3 linked regions of the Alligator mississippiensis genome follow. The protein of the gene in region 1 interacts with the protein of each later gene in a pairwise test. Links are inferred from orthologs where the notes say so. Each region holds a gene or a part of one and is shown on either strand. Other genes may lie near its edges.

The links.
Region 2: the proteins of EVL (region 1) and TRIM9 interact in binary tests that used the Homo sapiens proteins (3 or more experiments, as listed by UniProt). The two-hybrid records come from large-scale screens. The link is inferred for Alligator mississippiensis from reciprocal best matches to the Homo sapiens genes EVL and TRIM9.
Region 3: the proteins of EVL (region 1) and SPTAN1 interact in binary tests that used the Homo sapiens proteins (3 or more experiments, as listed by UniProt). The link is inferred for Alligator mississippiensis from reciprocal best matches to the Homo sapiens genes EVL and SPTAN1.

Annotation. Positions count from the first base shown.
Region 1 is NC_081825.1:282,649,257-282,656,165, reverse strand, and holds the start of EVL (ena/VASP-like protein), read right to left. Parts: upstream 3,014-6,909; 5' UTR 2,999-3,013; coding exon 2,976-2,998; intron 1-2,975. UniProt on the Homo sapiens protein: Ena/VASP proteins are actin-associated proteins involved in a range of processes dependent on cytoskeleton remodeling and cell polarity such as axon guidance and lamellipodial and filopodial dynamics in migrating cells.
Region 2 is NC_081825.1:298,808,770-298,816,733, forward strand, and holds the start of TRIM9 (E3 ubiquitin-protein ligase TRIM9), read right to left. Parts: upstream 3,006-7,964; 5' UTR 2,956-3,005; coding exon 2,131-2,955; intron 1-2,130. UniProt on the Homo sapiens protein: E3 ubiquitin-protein ligase which ubiquitinates itself in cooperation with an E2 enzyme UBE2D2/UBC4 and serves as a targeting signal for proteasomal degradation.
Region 3 is NC_081835.1:57,793,416-57,800,671, reverse strand, and holds the start of SPTAN1 (spectrin alpha chain, non-erythrocytic 1), read right to left. Parts: upstream 3,006-7,256; 5' UTR 2,910-3,005; intron 1-2,909. Other genes in the region: mRNA export factor GLE1, read right to left, coding at 7,195-7,256. UniProt on the Homo sapiens protein: Fodrin, which seems to be involved in secretion, interacts with calmodulin in a calcium-dependent manner and is thus candidate for the calcium-dependent movement of the cytoskeleton at the membrane.

The DNA of each region.
Region 1 (6,909 bases):
ACATACCAGGGGCTAATGATCCTCTGGACACAGTAAAAAGAAACAAACAATGAAGACAACAAACCAGATCCTCAAAAGGTGCAAAGTGGCAAGGTTACTACTGACATAGGGCTCCTTGCGTCACTGCGACTCTCAGGGAAGAAGTAACAGTGCTCTGGAGTTAATGCCTTCTTCCCTGTCAAGAACATGACCTGTGAGGGCCACGTCTGGAATTAGTAAATTCTCACTGAGGTTTCATCCCTTTGTTTCTCTGGGGCTTAAGTCTTGGCTCATTACCCCATCATCACAAAAGCTATATTTCATCCCAAAGCACTTCACAAATAAGTATTTTATAAACAGCATGCCAGGGTCACTTCATCCAGCCCCGGAGTGAAACGCTTGAAAAATCCAACAGTTGTGCAATAGCGCACAATGCTCCACAACCATTTAGGCCAGTGAAGAACACTGCATCAACTTGAAACTGTAGGGGGAACTTAAATAAACAGAATGCAATCACTCCACTTGGAATTAAGCCAGAGTGCTAGCCTGCACCCCTTTTTCAGAGTCTGATGGGTATTTAGGGCCCTCTAATGCCATTTAAGCCTTCGTTCAGAGAAGAGCGCCATCTACTGATTCATCAACTCTACATCCCTACATCAGTGGTTCTCAACTGGGGATAATAAGATCCTTTTCGGGGTGTTACAGTAATATTAGCACTATTAGGTATACAGACACCTACCTACACATAATTCCCAAGATAAACTGAGAGACTTCACATAGGAATCCATAATGTCAAAAAAGTTGGACTTGCTGTGGTCTTTCTGAATTCTTTGCAACAGAATAATTGCTCTGTTACTTTTATGTAGTCAAGAAATGATTAAAATCAGTTTTTGCAACTGGATGCTGCTAAATTCAGAAACGTTATGAAGGAGTACCTTGTGTTTTAAAAGGTTGAGAACCACTCCCCTGGGTGCTCCAGGTTCTCTATCCAAATACTGAACTAGGCCAAACATTTTTATCTTGTAAGATATCCTATTGTTTCATTACAATGAAATACATTTACCAGGCATAAGGGAGAATGCTGAAAAAAGACCAACTTTAAGATATAACCTAAAATGGAACACCACTTAAATGCCTAGTAAAATAAAATATAAGTCTTAAGGCTACTGACCAGACGCCACAGCCCGTATGGGTGGACGATCTTAAAATATCTTCACAGTTTAGACATGCAATTTTCAATGTTATTTTCAAAGTAAGCCTAAGAGGACAAGGCTAGAAAATTCACAAGTCTTATTCAGTGTGCAGACCAGCATTTAAATACCATTGCTACACTAAGTAAAGGTCTTTGTCTGAGATCTCTTCATGTGAATGGGTCTACCACAAGAAAAACCAAACAAAACAAAACAAAAAAACAGGTAGAGCTTTTAAAGTAGACTCTTCAAAAGCGTATCTTTTCTAGCAACAATCTGATCACAGCATTGCTGTATTAATAATATGCTTAAATCCCATAGATGAAATACAGATAGCTATGAATTGATACAGGGATATATAATGACTAGTCAGTTTGGTGCCTATTTACATCTTAATTTACTGTCAGCAATTGGCTGCATCAAAATTTGTGATCATATCTTGACAATCCTATGACAACTGCAGTTACATAGTACTACATGGTGTTCCAGTAAAATCCTTTTAAAAAAAGATTTTACTGAAACAGCATCCTGCTGCATTTCACAAACAGCAGAACTTCTATTCACTGTAAGCCTTCATTTCTTCACAGTTTTACACCTGGATATGGGACAATTTCTTAATTCCCTTCCCCCATCATTCATTTCCATTTGAAATTGATGAGACAAAAAACCCCAAACATTTTTCAGTATCAAAACATTAAAAACCTAGTCATTTTGCCAAAGCACAGATTAGCAGACAACCTTGTCTACATTTGGTATGAAATTTTGAAAGTTCAGAGAAAAAAAATTGGGTGGAGAATGCCAATTGTGTATGCAAAACTGATCAGCTCATCTAGTTATATACTACTTAAGTAATATCATACCCGCCAGTGTTTTCAGGGGTATTTATAAAATTAATATAAAAGAATTATTGCTATAGGAAGACAACATAGCAGAAGATGACCCTGATGTTGTCATAACACTTCACCATTTTTATCTGGCCAGTTTTATGCTATGACTGTTAAGAAACCATATAAACCTAAAAAAGTGAAGACCCATGAAAGGTCAAAAAAAAATTAATAGACCCTAATACAGTTTCATTACAGATTAAATCATCAATTATGTTAGTACCTCTATTTGCTTTCTTTCATATAGCTTCAAAAGCCTGTCATGATTTTAACAGACCTTGATGCATGCATATTTGAGGTATGGGGGGGAAGGTACATTACTGAACAGCACTAATCAACAAGGTCCTAATTTTGTACTTTAACAATCACAGTACTTCAAATGTTTGCCAACAAAACCCCACCCAAACCCCAAATTAGTCAGATTATATTTTTAATGCAATTCATAGGATATTCAGCAGCTACAAGATTATGAAAATGGCATGTATACTCTGCAGCAGCACAAAATCTAATCCCATATATGATCCAGACATCAGTATTTTCTCCCTTAACTATCATGATGTCTATTCCTTATAGAACAAGCATCTGTCAGGTTTGAAGGAACCAAAAATAGCAGAGACCTTTTCAATAGAACAGTTTGCTTTATATTTATAACTCTATACTGTACTTGCAGTGTCTGGTTATATGACTATAAAATATGTGCAAGATATAATAAATTATCCAGCTTTGCACTGCATCATGCAGTTAGCTATCGTTTACCTGCATTTCATCCTAGATATTCCTTACAACACATAGGGTAGATATTTTAAAATTCAAGAAACATTTGCGTCTTCAAGAACTAACTGTAGAGCCGGCTGACATTACACAGCAAAAACCTTGTGAGAACAAAAACCAAGCACACTGATGTATAAAACAGAGAGCCTACCTGAATTCTTCAAATGCATACATGGCCTAGTAACTAAACAAATTCGCTGAAATTTAAAATATTCTTCTTAATGTGCAGGAATACCATTTAGTTTGTCAATCTGCAGCAAGATGCATAATTAAGAGACAGTATATTGCAAATATTCTGAAGGGAAAGGGTATGCAGATACTGGCCTGCAGCCTACAGCTCAGCCAGCTGCTGACAAGCAGCAGCTAACAGGGAAAGGCGATAGAGTACCATGTGATCATTCCAGCAAGTCTGATTAATGCAGTATACTCCAAGAATACAGCCCGGTATCTTTATTATTCTAGCCAAATAAGTCAAATACTTTACATGACAGACTCTGTAGCTAAATGATTGTTCACATTTTACATCAGAATCACACAGAGGACAAAGAGAAAGCCAACTAACATATGGTATTAATGTTTCAATCTGATAGATTAATTAGGCCCATTTACACTGATTTTCTTAGCTTGCAGTGATATTTATTATCTTATGGTGTTTTTTATGCATATTGAATTGTCAGTGTCACAACAGAAGATTAGCACCATAAGCCCCCCCTTCTATAAATGCCAGAACATATTAAGTAGTTTTTCTACTGCAGACTATTCCTGACCATTTAACTCCTTCACCCCTGAATTCTCTGCTATCACATTCAATTTGTAACAACATGTGTGGAATGTGCCAAGTCAAATTCAGGCTTTAATGCCAATAAATCACAGGAGTGCAACTGAAGAAAGACGGATAAAAGCCAAATAGTCACATTTTAAAATAAGATAAAAATAGAAATGGGAAGAGTTGACAATTTTGTGATTTGTGGCATGTGATTCAAGATTCTTCAGCTGCCCAGTCACAGACCAAAACACCCCGGGAAGTTCTTAGATGAAGAGAACACATGTTCATCTGAATGGAAAGTTTCCCAAAAACAGTAACAGAACTTAAAGCCTTTGAAGTCACATGATGAAAACATGGAACAAGGGAGTGTGAAAGGATGCCACCAAAGTACAAATGCTTTATGGCAAGAAACTGGAGCTAAAAGATATTCCAAGCACAGGCTATGGAGAACAAAATTACATCTACTATATGTAGAGAAAGGGGGAAAAAAAACCCAGGAAGATGCAGGACGCACTCCTAGAACGCTTCGAAAGACGAATCATATGCTCTTCAGTAACAACCAGAGAGAACCTATGTCAATAAGCATGACTGCTAAAAAAAGTGGAAAATTAGAAGACAAAGAGCTGTCATTTCCCTGCCTGCTGAGCCACACACCACCTTTGAGGGGAGCTTAAGACTGCTAGAAACACAGGATCAAAGCCATTATCTGTTTAGGCAGAACCTGCACCTGTAAAAGAGGACACTTCATTGGAGGATTCCAAGAAGCTAACCCTAAACCCAAGGAGCCTTCAAAGAAGAAGACGCCTCCAAGAGAGCCAACCGCCACTAGAATCTTAACAAAAACTTGGCACTGAATTTTTCTGGAGCAAGGAGGGTTTTTCTTTAGGGATGAAAGTACGAAAGGAACAGTAAAAACACTGAATTTGATTGTGTAAAAGAAAATAAGTTGTGACAACAGGAATAAAAACTCCTGTCATAATAACATTACATGCCCTGGTTGGCCAGTTCGTAATGTTAGGTTTTGATATGTCGGCTATAAAAAGTTGTATTACCATTACAATATTGTAGTAATTAGAATGCACAAGGTCAAATTTTCCCATTGGTTATGCCCTTTTGATATCTGATGTAAACAAAGGGTAAATTTGGCCACAGAAGTATTTTATCCTCTGAAATGCATATTAAAATGCAGAGGTGAAATGAAAAGTGAATACTTTTGATCCACTCAGGTGGTGTAAGAAGGGAAGAGACTGAAGCTTTCAAACAGAAGAGAAAGTCACCTCCTTCAAAATACAGTCTGGTGAAAGCACGTAAAATACCTAGACACAGAAGTGGAATCCACCTGGCACCACTGAAAACAATAGAAGTTTCATCCTTAGCTACAATGAAACAAGGATTTCAGCTTCGAAGTCAAGGTTAAATCTGGAGAGAGCCCACAGAAATAAAGAAAGAAAATCTGAAGGAGGGTTGCCTACCTAATTTTTGCCCCTAATCCTGCTCTGAAGACAGTGGCTAAACTGCTGTTGATTTCAGAGGAAGTGAGCTTGGCCAGTGTGTGTAATGTTCAGTTTTGATATGCCTGCCATAAAAATGAATTGCATTTAAAAAAATATATCCCCCTTGGATTTGAGCTCGCTAAATCACTGTCATGACTTTCGATGCTGCAACCACTATGAACAAATATGCAAAGAAACAAGCTGCTGTTCAAACCATGACATGGTCATCAATGGCCACTCTGTCCAGGCTGCAGGATGGTGTAAAGGGCAAACACCCTCCAGAAAGCTTTTGCAACAGTGGACCTTTACTGAAAATTCTGACATTTAACAAGTTACCTTAGTTTCAAGCCAATGTTTTCCCAGCTACTTGTAGAGTTCTGTACCGTCCATTTAGGAGCCTTGATCTACAGTGGAAGTAACTGTAATTTCTTGAAACAAAATAATGAAGAGTCCCATGATGAGGAAAAATCTGACCATATACATGTCACATTGTCTACATCAATGAAGATTAGCGTATGAATGCCCAATCGTCTGTATAACTTTAAAAGGTATAATGAACACAGGAGCAGCAAAAATGTCAATGCCTTATGGATCAATAAGAATGGAATGATCCTGCCAGAAGCTTCTTAAACAGTTGCTAAACACAATTATTATTTTTTACTGACAACCTATACAATTCTTTAACTGATGTATTTTATGCAACGTGAATGTAACCTTTCTGCCAGGCTCCGGATGGCAGTAACAAGGGCCACATTCGACTTTAGGGGTTTAACAACAACTCTTAAATCTGGCCTGAGCCCACACCAAGAAACCTGAAAAGCAAATGTAACTGGATGTTCTAAAGTGAACAAACTTTCCCACTCACAAGTAATGTTCTACTAAAACAGGGTTTATTACATGTGTAACAAGGGATAAACATACAACCATAGAGAAAACCTTAACCATTAAACATCAAGTGAAACCCAAACAGTTAATAGACTAAGTCAGCAGCAAAACTACCCAGTCCATTGGAACAAGAGACTCACCCAAGGAGACACAGACATTGCCACCCACCCTGTCCTGCCTGGTGCCTCAGACTGCACAGACCTGCCCACTTTGAGGCAAACAGCTGTTACAAGCAGGCAATGGCCTATAGGATGCAGTGGCAGCACATGACGGGAAGGGGGGCTCCTGTGGCCCACAAATCCTGACAGAGAGCTCCCTGCAGGATGCTCACCCACTCAGACACAAAGTGGTGTTGCTGTGGTCTCATTGTCCATCAACACTGGCATCCAGCCTCTTTCTGATAACAGATCTTTAATCAAGCTCATAGTTTCTTAGTTTTTTTATGGACAGCTCCATGCCTTTTCTTTCTCTCTTTTTTTTTTCTTTTTCCAGACAAGTGTTTTTATCGCTTTTTTTTTTTTAAACAAAATGTCTGTAAACTTACAAATAGCTGGCAACCCTGATCTCAATCAAACTGCAACTTCTGATATCCATGAGTAAGAGTACCGAATAGTGGCTTTATGGTATCTAAGAGAGAACAAAAGGAGCCGTGTGCATCAGAAACCACAAAAGGCAAAGAATAATTCAGTGATAACTCGTTTGTTTGAGCTGGGTAAGCAGGGAAGAGTACAACTGAAAATAAATACCTACCTCATACCCAAACCCGTAATTGTGGAATAGAACAATAAATCCAAATCAGACTTAGTTGGACATTTGGGCAATTATAATTATTGGTAATGACAAACAAGGAATCCCACTCCTCATGTTTGAATCTAATCCAGGTTGCTCAAGCAGTGATAGGTACCATAATCTATTACAATTTGACAGCAATTCAGTGGTTT
Region 2 (7,964 bases), about 16 Mb from region 1:
AGCCGAACGGCAGGGTGACTCAGGAGAAAGCACAGCCGGACCGAATGTTCGGAAATCCGGCTCAGGAAGCTAAGACATGCAAGGGAAGTGATCACCTCCGGTGACACCAAAGGCCTCCAAAAGAGCATCTCCGCTCGGCTTCATTTCCGAAGAGCAGCTGAGTTAAAATCCACTCATGAAGGGGTCAGCCTAGGACTCTCTATATTCATTAAAGGGACTAAAGCCCCTCTCTTTAGTATGGGCTTAACTGCAGGCACGGGCCTTTTATAGCTAACGAGGCTTCTTCAAAGGCTTAATGTTATGCATGTACTTAATTAAAGAGCTCAGCTGGACTGAGCCCTAACAACGCCAAGAAGAGGAGGAGTTAAATTGGATAGACTCATAGCCAAACCGTGTGATGTCACTGCTCGCCTGTGATGCGATATTTGTTTGGGAGGCAGCTCCCCAGGGCCCGCATCCGCCTCCATCCCTCGACTGCAAGGCTGTACGGAGATGCGCGGCTCAGCGTAACGCAATACATAAGTACGCCCCTCCATGGGAAACGCGCTTGTTCCTGGCCCCCGCGAGAAAGCCAGGGAGGCCCCGACACCCAGGGGTGACTGGTGTCACTGGGTGGATGAGGACATGCACCAGAGTGTCGTAGTGGGGAGCCTGTTCATCGGGCTGTGGGAGGGAGACATGCACACACACACCCATGCAGAGGACACATACACGTGGAGGACACATGTATACGGTGGACACACGTGCATGCACACACAGATGACACACACACGAAGGGCAAACACACACAAAAGACAAACACATGCACACCCCCCACCCCCCCACCCATGCGGAGGACACATACACGTGGAGGACACATAAACAAATACATGGAGGACACACATGCGTGCAGACACAGAGGACATGCACACATGGAGGACAAACACAGACATGGAAGACAAACACATGCACACACACACGGAGGACACACACACACAGAGGGGATACACACACAACACACACACATACACATGGAGGACACACACACATACACAACCACCTGGAGGACACACATATGCATGCACCCATGGAGGGGACACACACACACACACACACACACACACACACACACACACAGAGGACAAACACATGCACATGGAGGACACGCACACGCGCACGCATGCAAGGAGGACACACACACACACAAGGAGGACATACACACACACTCACACAGGGGCCACACATGGACATGCATGCACACAGAGTTCACACTCACACACACACACACGCACGCACTCCCTCCCCCCACTGCATGCTCTCAGGAAGACCGCGCTCCCAGAGCCACTGGGGCATCGCCCCTGCAGGAGCAGCCCCGAGGGCCGTCAGAAGCACCCCCTTGCCCTTCTCGCTCCCCCATGCCACCCCGTGCACTGCCCACACATGTGCTCCACCACGGGGCTCTTTGCCTCCACACCTCCGCACATGACACGGCGGGACGGCAGCGTTCCTGGAAAGCGTTTCCTGAGGGGCCGGGGCAGCTCTCCCACACCGCTGCGCGGGGGCTCCCGGGGGATCCGCACCGTGTCTCTCTGCATCCCTGTCATTTCTGCCCTAGTTACCTCAGGCAGGGTCAGCCACACGCCACACAGACCCGGATTACCGGAGAGGGGACGCATGAAGCAGAGGGAGATGCTGCCCTGTGGCGGATCTGTGTGCAACCAAGCGGGCAGCCCTGGCTCTGCCTGCCCCCTCTCATGCCTCCATGCTCACCCAGGTCCCCAGGGCAGGCTCTCCCCCCATTCGTGGGGGCCCTTGGCAGGCCCATCCCTCCCTGCTGCTTTCCCGGCCCAGCCCTGGGGACGCACGCCGAGCAGGGAGGAAAGACGGACGGGGAACGCCGGTGCACCCCTTCCCCAGCACAGGCACGTGCCAACCCCTGGCAGAGGGCATGTGGGGACGTGTCCCCACGGAGCCGTCCCCCATTGCAAGGCAGGGAGAGCATCAGATGCGCAGCCAGAGCGAGGGCACGGGACCGCATCCAGTGGCAGACCCTTAGGGCGGACCCCGAAGTGCAGGATTTGGCCCTCAGGGGCCTGCCACACACCGAGCCCCCCCGCGGCCGGGCAGGGCAGGGCAGGGCAGGGCTCTCACCTTGTGCAGCTTCCACATGGCGCCCAGGGCCTTGACCTCGTGGCTGGAGTGCTTGCCCTCCTCCAGGCACTGGTAGCACACAGGCATCTTGCACTGCACGCAGTACATGCTGTGGTTCTCCAGCTCGTGATCCGTGCAGGTGGAGATCTTGCGGGGGCTCAGCCTCCTACTCACCCGGCCCTGGGCCGGCGGCACCAGGCGGTGTTTAGCGAGGGGGCCCCGGGGCGGGTGGCACCTCAGCCTGCAGGGATCGCAGTAGAAGACGTCGCACTGCTCGCACATCACCGTGGCCTCCTTGGGCGCCTTCTCGCACAGCTGGCAGCGCAGCGCGGCCGCCTTGCTCTGCTGGTAGCGGTCGATGACGCCCTCCAGCACCCGGTTCTTGGGGAAGCCACGCAGCCCCCGCTCGTCCAGGATGAGGCTGCGGTGGCACTGCGGGCAGGTGATGCAGGCGTTGCGGGGCACGGGGGCCAGCGTGGCGGCCGGGGGCAGGTGGGGCGGCGGGGGCACGGCCGGCGGGAAGACCCGCACGCCGTTGGGCGACTTCTGGCACGGCGTGGTGGGCGCGCTGGCGAAGCCGCCGTAGGAGCCGTAGCCGCTGTCCGCCTCGCTGTACAGGCTCATCTTGTCCAGGTCCAGGTAGTCGTAGTCGGAGACCCCGGAGCCCGACGCGCGGCGGCTCTGCGGGGACTCGGCCTCGGGGGTCTGCACCAGGATGTTGCGGGCACAGGCCTGGCACAGGTTGTGCGAGCAGGGCAGGATGATGGGCTCGCGGTAGAAGGAGCCGCACACCGGGCACTTCAGCTCCTCCTCCATCTCCTCCATCGGGGCACGGCTCAGCACCGCGGGCAGCGACCGGCTCCGGCTCCCGCTCCGGCTCCGGCTCCGGCACTGCGGCCAGCGCCGCTCCCAGCGCAGCGCACCGCCGCGCCGCCCCGCCCCGCCCCGCGCCCCGCCCCCCCGCTCCCATTGGCCGCCGCCCCCCGCTCTGCGCAGCGGGCGGGGCCAGGGCCAGGGGCGTGCAGCGCCGAGCACTGCGCGTCCTCCTCCTCGCCCGCCCTGGCACGGGTGTGCCCAGGTTACGTGGAAATGCCCTGTTTTGATTGCAAAGGCCTTATTTGTATTTACAGTCACCTGCCTTTGGATGGCGTGACGTCACCTTTATTGGCCTGACGTCACCGTTATTTGCATGGCGTCATCTTGATTGAAACGCCTTTATTCTTATTGGTGTGGCATCATCTTTATTGGCATGGCGTCATCTTTATCTGCATGACGTCATCTTGATTGAAATGCCTTTATTCTCATTGGCGTGACGTCATCTTTATTGGCGTGGCATCATCTTAATTGGCATGACGTCATCTAGATTGCCGTGACGTCATCTTGATTGAAACGCCTTTATTCTCATTGGCGTGAGGTCGTCTTTATTGGCATGGCGTCATCTTGTTTGGCATGGCGTCATCTTGATGGAAATGCCTTTATTCTCATTGGCATGACATCATCTTTATTGGTGTGACATCATCTTTATCTGCATGGCGTCATCTTGATTGAAATGCCTTTATTCTTATTGGCATGACGTCATCTTGATTGAAACGCCTTTATTCTAATTGGTGTGGCGTCATCTTGATTGGCGTGGCGTCATCTTGACTGAAACGCCTTTGTCCTCATTGGCGTGGCGTCATTTTTATTGGTGTGCCGTCATCTTTGTCTGCATGGCGTCATCTTGATTGAAACGCCTTTAGTCTCATTGGCGTGGTGTCGTCTTTATCGGCGTGGCGTCATCTTGTTGGGCGGGCCACTCTTTTATTTGCATGCCATCATTTTCATTCTAATGCCCTTCTTTTTACTGGCATCGTCTTTCTTGGTGTGGCGTCATCCTTATTTGCATGGCATCATTTTTATTTAATTGCCCTTATTTTTATTGCCATGGCATCATTTTCATTGGTGTGGCATCATAGTTTCATAGTTGGTAGAGTCGGAAGGGACCTGAACAGATCACATCCGACCCCCTGCCCATCTTTATTTAAACCGCCTTACTTTTATTGGTGTGGTGTCATCTATATTGGTGTGGCATCATCCTTATTTGCATGGCATCATTTTTACTTAACTTCCCTTATTTTTATTGCTGTGGCATAATTTTTATTGGCATGGCATCCTCTTTATTTAAATGGCCTTATTTTTATTGGTGTGGCATCGTTTTTATTGGTGTAACATTATCTTTATTTGCATGGCATCATCTTTATTAAACTGCTTTTATTTTAGTGGTGTGGCGTCATCTTTATTTAAACAACCTTATTTGTATTGGCATGGCATCATTCTTATTTGCATGGCGTCATTTTTATCTGCATGACATCATCTTTATTTGTATGGCCTCATCGTTATTTAAATGTGCTTATTTTTCTTGGCATGGCATCATTTTTATTTGCATGGCATCATCTTTATTTGCATGGCATCATTATTTAACTGCCCTTATTTTTACTGGCATGGCATCATCTTTATTTGCATGCCATTATTTATCTCCATGCCATTATGTTATTTGCATGCTGTTATTTTTATTTGCATGCCCCTATTTTATTTACATGTCATGATTTGTATTTACGTCCCCTTATTTTTCTTTGCATGTCATTATTTTTCTTTGCATGCCTTCATTTTTATTGGCAGGGAGTTATATGTATTATTGATGATATGCAGTTATGAAGGGCCATCATGCACAGATTGGTTGTGGAGGTGCCACCACCCCTTCCCCCGGGCCAAATGCCTGCCCTTGCCCTCCAGCCTGACCCACGGCAGGGGTGCCCCGTGCCAGCCCTGGAGCAGTCACACTCCACTGGACCAGGGGGTTATTCACAGAAGCAGAAAGCAGCAGGGCTGGAAGGGACCTTCTGAGATCAACTAGCTCAACCCTCTGCCTGAAGGAAGCCTCTGCCCCGGTGTGGCACAGGAGACCGGGCAAGATGGACTGTGGTCTATTGTCTATGGTCAACAGCCGGTCTTATGGTCTGGCCCAGTAAACTGCAGTTCTGATGTTCTCATATGTTTCACAGTAAGATGGGTCCCTTCGGTAGCACCTGGGCTCTCCTGCAAACACGTAAGCACGGGCTTAACTTTAAGCTGCATGCACAGGGTCCATTGAAGTAGAATGCAGTCACGTCAATGGGTGCAACTAAAAGTCATCACGTGCATAAGGGCTTCCAGGACCTGGGCTTAAATGTGCTTTTGCATGTGTAAGTTAGGGTGGGTAGCGCCTAGGCTGGGTTTTTTGCAGCAAATAAGGCAAGTGCAGAACTGCAGAGGGCACGGTGCCCGGGCTACACCATGCAGATGTCTCAGAGAGGTTGGAGGAGAAGAAAGCACGCGCTGCATCTAGACCAGTGGTTTGCAACCTATGGCCCGTGGACCCCTGGGGTCCTGCAGACTATGTCTAAGGGCTCCAGGAAAGATGACTGTGATCAATCAGCAGTATGTGAATCCCCACACTTACAGTTCAAAGGGGTCCACATCTCCATTTGAGATTTTGTAGGGGTCTGCAAATGAATAAAGATTGAAAACCCCTCGTCTGGAACCAATGCAACTGGGTGTGCAGTGAAGGGAAGTTTTCTGTTAGCAAGGCACAGCCATGATTTTTCTGTGCATAAAACAGGCCTGTTAGAAAGGCGGGGGGGATCTGCAATACGACTCTACTGAGCCGGGCAGAGATTTCAAGTTCTCATCCGACGTCGCTCAGCACAGGGCAGCTCCTGCCCACTGCGGTGTGGGTGCATGAATAGCACTGAAACAGGATCAGGGCCAGGCAGCTTGGCACTGGCCAGCCCCGTTCATTTAGTCCTGCATGCTGCACCTGTGCTGGGTGTTGGACTTAAGTGGGATAAAGCCCTGCAGCTGGAAGAGGGTAGACAGGCTGAGTGTTTGGAGGGGTTTTCCACCTCTCTCAGAGGCATGAGTGTTGGCTGCAGCCCAGGCTGGGGGTTGTGACTGGGCAGTGCCAATTCTCCTTCCAGGATGTCAACTTGGAGGTCCCTGGCTTGAACACCTTGCCCTTCTGTTCAGGGTCAGATTGATGCCATATTTGGGGTCAGGAAGGACTTTTGCCCCCTGATTAGATTATATGGGCTGTGGGGTTTTGCCTTCCTCTTAGCATGTATTAGCAACTTTTACAGCAAGGGGACATTGGCCACCACGGTCCTCTGCTTTACCTGGGGCAGGTTCGGGTGCTGTGCTTTGCGGCTGTGTGACAGGGTCACCTATGTAGTTTTAGTAATAGGCTGGACAAGGATTTCCATGGGCTGCTTTGCATTGGGACGACCCTGTCTCTGAACTAGGTGATGGCTGGCACTGCTGGAGGTGCCTTTGAGGCCTGCCTGCCCATGGTAGGGTCCCTAGAGCTCCTCCCTGGAGCTCAGGGGAGCGGATGAGCCAAGGCTCCCAGTCACCCTACAGTGGAGGGGCGAAAGGTAAAGCAAGTGAAAGAGGACCTGTGGCTGCCTTGGCATAGTTAAGGGTGGGAGGAAGGGGTTGGGGTTGGAAGCTGTAGTGACCACTGGGTGTTTGGTGGCACAGAAGGGGACACTGAGGCTGGCTCGCTACATCTCCCCGACCTGAGGGGGTGCAGACTGACTGCAGGCAGCACTGTGAGCCAGGCCTCATTTCTCTCCTTGCGCACATACAGGAGGGAGGAGGTGGGACCCATTGGCTCCAAGGAGCGTGGGAAAGCAGGGGGTGGCCATGGCGGGCATCTTAGCACAGACAGGCTCCGACTGCTGCGTGGTTCACGGAAGTGATGCTGCTGCCCATCACGCCCGCATCTCCCACTGGCTTCCTCTGCTCTCCCCCCGTAGTTTCTTGCTGCATACAGACGGGTTTGCACTGGGACAGGCTTTCCTTGCTGGAGCTCTTACACCCATCCAGCCTCCCCAGCTTTGGTCTTTGCACTTAGCCCTTCAGGTAAGGCCGCACTCCCCTGGCATCATTTATTTTTACCCTCCCCACCCACAGATTCGGACTCTTTTTAAGGCATGTCAAGAGCTGCAGACTGTTCACAGGGACGATCTGCAAGGGTAGAGGTGTGGCGTGCTCCCTGCTCGGGGCATGCAGCATGGATCTATTGGGAAGTACCCAGAGGGAGCGAGCTCTGCCCTTCAGACGCCCCCTTTTTGATCTGGGGATAAGGGCTGGGGTGCTACAGTCACATACAGAGGCAGTGCTGGGCTCCCCAGAGGCTGGGCAACTTCTCTCCTTTACTCCTCATTTCCAATACTGGTGCTGAGGCCACCTGAATATGGCTCGGGGAGGCGGGGGGTACTTTTCTTTAGCTCCTGTGTTGGAAGTATCATGTATGGACTAAAAAGAGCCCAGCCTGAATCGTCTCCAGGAGCACGTGCGCAGTCTATCACTACATGCACGAATGCCTCCTTATTGGCGACGTGGGCTCCAAAACAAGACACGACAGAAGCTTACGGCTGCCGAGGAAAGCTCTCTCCGGGCTGTTTCGGATGACATGGTAGCTGCGTTCTTTATATCTGATGAAGCCGTGTGGGTTTTTTCCCTAAGATATTATTGCACAACACACCTCCAGACACACAGGGCACGAGCATCCACTATACATCGCTTTGTGCTGGATTGATTGCCTATGTGAAGAAAGCCATCAAGGCTGGAGTAGATGCTAATTGTTTGCTTTGGATCATGCAGAACAGAAGAGGAACTTCATTTAGGAAGGGTCTTGCAGTCTTTGCCCAGCATGACTTGAAACGCATGCTGAGAGAGGCACTATCACGTCTCCTTCAGAAACGGGAGATGTGCTGAGAACTAGGCACTCACAAAAAAGGGTTTCCCTCTTTCGG
Region 3 (7,256 bases), on another chromosome or scaffold:
TGTTCAAAGAATGGGGCAGGAACAAAAGTCAACTCTTTTTGATTTACAGTATTTTCAATATGTGGTATGTTACAGTAGATTTTCAGATGCTGTAATCAAAGATATTATCTTGGCCAATAGCTTTTTAAGGCAAATTATCTTTTAGAAAATTAAAATCCACATCACCAGAAGCAGAAGATCATACAAAACCATCATAAGGAATTCACAATGTGTAAGCATCATGCTTCACAGCAGAAGGAAGAAAGCAGTAATATTAGATTAAAAGCATTCCAGAATCAGCACTCCAAAGGGCAAAGAAAGTACCTGCTCTATTTTTATGCTCTATATACACACAAACTCTCAAGTGGCTTTTTGTACAAGGATGTCATCACTGCAATGAGGCAGGCAAATCAAAAAAATGGCAATTCTACTACATGCATATTGTAAAAATACCTGGACTATGACTTTACGAAATGATGACAACATGTTGGTGGAATGTAGAGAGTCTGAAACCAAGATAACATTCCACTAACTATAAATGTTTAGAACGCAAGTAAAGCATGTACATTGTCAAAAATTGTATCACAGAATCACACCTCTTCTCCCCCAGCCATAAAATAATTTGGAACAACTGTGAGGCAGGCTTCTGCATAAAAGTTAAAACCAGTAATACAATGAAATGAATGCTATTGACAGCTGGCTTAAGATGCATACACATTTTCAACTAAAAACCCCCTAAAAATAAAATTAAAAGGACAAAATAACAAGTAAAGAAAACAACTAGTTGTGGCAACCTGTTAAATAAAGATTCAAATGCTAGCACGGCTTAAATTTAAGATTTTAAAAACATGTAATGCACAAGCATTAAATGCCTTCTTAAACACTGAAGATTAATCTCTCTTGTAACATGCACACAAATAACATCTATAAACAGGAAAAATTGGGGGGACTCATTTAATAGCTGGCAGATTTGGCCAATACACTGTGCTATTACTTGTTCAGTTCCCTGCAGGCTCTAGCCTGCATTTCCCCTTGGGTACACTGCAATCTGCGTTGTAGTACATGGACAACTGCAGTTTTATGTGCCTTTGTGCTTGCTGGAGCTACTGCTTATTCATCATGGCATTTCCACAGCATCATGTGTATCAACTGCAGCAGTAAAAAGGCAGTTTGCCACTTTATTTGATCCACAGTCAGCCATGGAAGCACAGTGCTGACCTGCACTTTGCAGTCTCCTCCAGGAGCATCTGCAGCCTGCTCCACCCCATTATTCTGATGCCTGCTCCTGGGCAAATGGAAAAAACAAATGCCTATGTTCTACTATAGGTGGGGGAAGGCATAACACTTAAAAATTACTTGCCCCAAGCTGATGGGAAGTCAAATATTTTATCATCCCCAAAATGAGTCTGTTTTATTAGTCTATTACAGGCAATACTAGCTATAAAATTCTATACAGTTTTATTTTCATGAAGTGATGAGGGCTGGTTATAAAACACAAAACCTCGCCAATATGAATCATCATACCCAGAAGTGCCAACCTGTCTGAAAAGCATGAGACTCCTTTTACCTTCCTTGTACAAAGGGAAAGATGGCAAACAAGGTTTAAGACTCCTCTTTCAGCCTGTTTTTTATTGCTGCTTTGATCTTGTTTCTGAGCACCACACTAAGGAGCTCAAAAGCAATGCACCATCTACATTTTTTTTAAATCAATAGAGTCTTAAGCCTACCCTTCCAAATGTATGACTTCTGCTACTGCAGCAGAGACGTAAATTAAGCAAGCATCATCTACCTAATCTGGGTTCAATCGTTTTCTATACACCAGCACTGCTGTTGCCAAATTTATGAGACTTTTTCACGATGCTGCAGAAACCTTCCTATTTTTCAATCCTTTTGTTCCTTCTTTTCTGCACACATCTTACATACGCTTCACTCAATGCAATTTTTCATGGCAAGACCCATTTGTTAACTGCAGCTAAATGACAAGGCTACCCAGCAATTTTTCTGTTAAAGAAACATATTCTGAAGCCATCCAAAGCCTTGATCAAGGCCTCTCACAAGAGGAATCAGTAAAATCTTCTGGCAGAACCAGAAGGAATCAAAGCCATAAGGAACAGTCTTGATGTAAGAGATTTTTTTCCAGAAAAAGATATAGCATCATTCTCCAGGGTTCCCCCCTCCTCCCCCTTTGCGTCCATCCTCCACCTCAGCACAACTGTCTTCCAATGTAAATCTACCTGGCAAATTGCTCTGCATCAGGTCTATTTTGAATGAACTGGAAAACATTATTCTATGGAAAAAAATATTCCAATTAGAAAACAACAACAACAACAACAACAACAACATCCGATTAGCAGCAGCAAAACACGCGGGGACACCTGGAATATCAAAGAAAGGGTTTATTCTTTGAATCCTGGCAGGAGCGGCTGCAGGAAGGACAGGCCAAGGCTCATGTCCTCCCCCGCCCTGCGCGGGGCAGCCGCGGGCAGACGGACGCGCTTTAGCACCGCACCGCGGGGGCGATGCTCTGGGACTGCAGGATGAAGAGGAAAAAACAAACAAACCAGATGAGCCAGGGACAGTCCCCAGGAGCTCGCAGCCTCCCTACAACGCGGGGCTGGAAGACCAGAGCTGTTTTTCCCACAGCCTCTCCCCGTGGGGTGAGGGGGAAGGACCGAGCTGTGTGGGTGCGGTTACAGTCCAGGGCCGGGGGTCTGCAGCCCCGCCGCCTCCACACTCTCGGGCTTTGCTGACCATGGCCGGGCCTCGCCTAGGCTCGGGCGCCGAGCGGGATCCTGCCGCAGGGGCGGGCCCGCCGCGACCCCCTCCCCGCTCGAGGGCGGCGGGCGCAGGGCCGCTGCACCTGCCTCTAACGGCTGCGTCAGGAGGGGGAAGGGAGCTCGGCTCCGACCCGCATCCCCGCCCCAGCTCACCGGGTCTGTGCCGGGTTCACCGCCGCGCCTCACCTCTCCACTCCCCGCGGCCCTCACACACTGACTGCTCACGCCGGCCGCCGCGGTCCCTTTTATAGGGCGGTCTGGGGTGACGTCAGCGCCGCAGAGCGCGCCCTGGGCACGGCTGGAGCCGAGCGGCCTCGGAGGGGATCGGCGCGCGCGGGCCCCGCCCACCCGAGGCGGTGCACTGCCGAGGGAAGCCGGAGAAAGACGAGCGATTCCGGAAAGAGACGAGCGGCCCGGGAGGGGCGGCCTGGGCGCAGGCCGAGCCTGTGTAAGGCCTGGCTGCCAGAGCTGCCCCAGCAGGGGTTGTGGTTGTCTGGGCTAGGCTGGGCTGGTTTCGTTTGTGTCCCTGAAAGCTGCTGTAAAAACTCAAATTCGGTTGGTATTTTTTATTTTTTCCATTCATTGCATTTGTGCTAGTCATTTTGAAAGGTGCTGCAGCAGAGATATAAAGAACAAAATTAACATTGAAAGCACCCTCAGCCTTAGGAAAAGCTTGCATTTCTGCCGTGACCCAGAAGCAATTGCAGGAGTTAGAAGAGGAAGGATGCAGCAAGGACGTAACGATGCAAAACTGAAATGGCAGAAAGGACACGCTCGAGTCGAGACCAGAATTTCAATAGAGGCCAGGGCTTCCACCGGCAAAGACTTCCATTTCGTTTTCTTTTAAGAGTGTTGCTATGACAAACTAAAACCAAAGCAAGAAAGCCGAACCTGTTAAGGAGATGTACATTAAGTAGACCGTATTTAGTCTTACGTATTTTTAAGTCCCATTCAAATATGCATATATATATATATATATATTTTTTGTAGGGAGCGGACTCTTAGCTTTAAGGACTTTCTTGTTAAAAACATTAACAACCGCACAGGAGAACATTAAATTGTAGGACAAAAATCTGCCACTGACGTTATATATCAGAACCTGTCTGGCTGCAATGCAACCGTGAGTCAGTAATTGCGATTGGATCAGGTCCTGAAAGCACAGAGGTTCCCACATGAATATTTAAAATAACAATTTAAATACATTCATGTTTATAAAAATTCACTGTTTGGATTTCTTATACCTCAAGACATCCTGATACTACAAGATGGTCGATGCTCAAAACTGTTAAATAAACAGTGAAAGCAGATACAAGAAAAATAGAGAATTGATTTACATCAGGCAGTAGAGCCCAACATTTCTGAGCTACCTCTAAAAAGGCTACATACATAAATGCTTATCATTACAAAAATATTTATTTTGGTTAACTAAAAGCTTTTATTGAGTACATATGAAAAAAACACTCAAAAGAGGCAAGGAGTTTTGAAACTAAGGCAGAGAAGCTCAATATCTTTGGTTATTTATCAAAAGCAAGCACATACATTACCAAAATAATTTCTATCTGTAACTTGGAGGGAAGCCATCCCAACTTTAGTATTGTTATAAAACATGATCCACACATTTTAGAAATTAGCTAAATAAAATCTTTAATATTTACAACAGTATAAAGACAATTGATTCAAGATGGCTAAACAACATCATAACTGTCAGATATTCATAATGTCATTAAATACAATCTTATTTATTCTGTACAGAAAGAACTATGCAAAAATAAGCAATGAATAAGATTTATCAAGGCACTAATAGTACTTGAGCATATAACTGCTCTTTATGCCTTTGAAAGTCTCCCCAAAATATCCTTTAAAATATTCTACAACAATTGTCAGTCTTGCCAAACACATACAAAGTCAGGCCTCAAAAACCATGAAATGGGCTTACAAATCAATAATAAACATTAAGTAATTTTTATGTGTGTTCTGGTTTGAGCCTCTCAGACACATGGATCACATTTTCCAAGCATTTCTCAGTAACTTTGAGAAGTAGAAACTTGCTATTAAAAATAATGAAATCTGAGATTCTCACATGATCATTTGACTCCAAAAGCAACAGCTTTAAAAAGATAAATACCACAAGACTACAAATAAAACTGAGTTTATTGGTAAGTTTGGTAAAACTGAGCTATGCATTAAGTTATTAAATCTCCTCCTGAAAAGAAAAGGAAAGGAAAAGGAAAAGAAAGAAAAAAAGAAAAGAAAAAAATCAAACTAGATTGCATGCCAAGGACACTTTTTCCACTTCCTGGAAGAATTAATTCTAGAAAGTTTCAGCTATTAGATGCATATTATTTTAAACACTGTAGCTTAAGCACTGTCAGTAAATAACTTCACCAAAGAACAGCCTTTATATTTACCATTTCTGAATTAAAGATTGCATCAAGAGGACTGAATAAGCCGGGGGAGTCTGGAACAAGAGACACTTTCACTTCTCACTGCTTCAAATACAGCCCATGTCAACCATGAGTAAGTGCCAACCATCTGATAGCTGTTACACAGACCATATAAAATGAGTTCTGTGCAGTCCCGCTTCATTTTCAATTAGGACAAAACCTCAATACAGGTGTCAGCTCTCACTAGAAAGGGTTAAATCTCAGCAGAGAGGCTAAATAAAGAAGTTTGCAAACTAAGTTACTATCTCCCCATCTGAAATGGCCCATCCAGGATATGACTGAAGCATATTAGGAATGTGGTGGGAAAAGCTGCAGGAAGGATAGGGGCCTGGAGTAAAAGCTACTGGTCTATTTATTCAAACAGACACATAACATGCAATGCCAGTAGCTTTCCCAGACTACCCAACGCTATTTGTGGGTATGCCACCTCTCCGGAGATGTTATTTTAATTTCCCTATTCATTTATTTTTTCCCCTGTCAGCATCAATTTGCTATCCAGTTGTGAGGATGGTAAGGGCTTTTTGAAGTGCAGAGCCATGGAAGCTAGGAACTAGATAAACAGATTTCACATAGGCCATTGAAAGGTATGTCATGGAGTGCATACCATCAGCTAAATGTTAAAGATCACATCCAAATCTCACTTACCATAATCATATGCCCCATGGAGTGACCCAATAAAGATTCTCAGAGCCTCACTTGCTCACCTTCCGAAGCACCCACAGGAAGTAGTAACATTGCAACGTTTAAGCATGAATATTTTTTCCAAGTAAGTTTCTAAAATGAACTATTTTCATCATAATCCATTACATTAGCACAGTATAAAATTATCACCTTACTGTATACACAATCTGCAGTTAAATTGATATATTCTTTGTTAAGAAAGAAACTGGTTAAAATTATAAAGGCTGTTTTTAAATATATGTCTGTGTTACCTTTCAGTTCATACTGGAACAAGCCAAGGAAACTCCTTTTTCTGTTCACATGAAAGCAAAGTATCTGTACGGTCTCTTAAGTATTCTTCCATGCTTATTTTTTAGACTAACCCTAACTTTCAGTTCATGCAATGGATCATGAATGCAGAATTTTCTCTAGAAACTCTTGGTGAAAATATTACATTTAATTTATTTACTTACTCACAAAGCTGCAAAGCTTTTTTTGTTCAGTGAAGTGTTCTTTAGCAAACAACGTATCACCTACTGTAATTATAAAAATCAAGTCTGTCCAATATAAATAAAAACATTTTCGCAAGGGAAGAGCAAGGTTTTTAAAACTTTAAAAAGTTGTTCATTTTAAGAGGTCTTCCCCAGAGAAAAGCATTTCCCCCCCAGATAATACTGAGTTTCTCAAAGCAGAGTGACATTCAACAGAAATCAAAGCAGCCATGTAAGCCTAACCACCTCTACCTATTTTTGGGGACTTTTAGGCTAGCAATTTAAACATTTTTTTCCACAGGATGCAACCATATCAACATAATTAAACAACTGCACACATGAAATACAAAAATAGATTTTTAAAGCTTAATTTTTTAGATTTTGACCTCAGTATAACTAAGGTTCCATAAAACCTTGAAGTACTTCCATTTCCACGGCATCACGTGAAAGCCTGGACAGACTGTCAATTGTGTGCGAAATCCCCGAGTGTCACTGCTTACTATAAACTCTGGAGTCCAGTGTAACTTTCAGATACTTTCCACACATTTGACACTTATTAAAAAACACAGTAAAGACATGAAGAAGCATCTGATATTCCATAATTTACTGCACAATAACATCTACAAAGTTAATCAAATCTTAACAGAATGGTTTAAAATAATTTGCAAAATAAATTAGACAAAGAAGGGTTCCTGAAACACTGTTCAACATAAAACAACCACATATGTTAAAAACACAATAGAAATTATTATTTTTTTATTTATTTTGTCCCCAAATGAAACAGGAAGCCAGACCAGGAAATCCTCTGGACTCCTGTGAAGATGAAAATAGGAAGGATCTGCCTCATGACCTCCAGAAAGACGACTGCAGAGAACCTTTCGGTAAAGGTATTTCCTGCTTCTGCA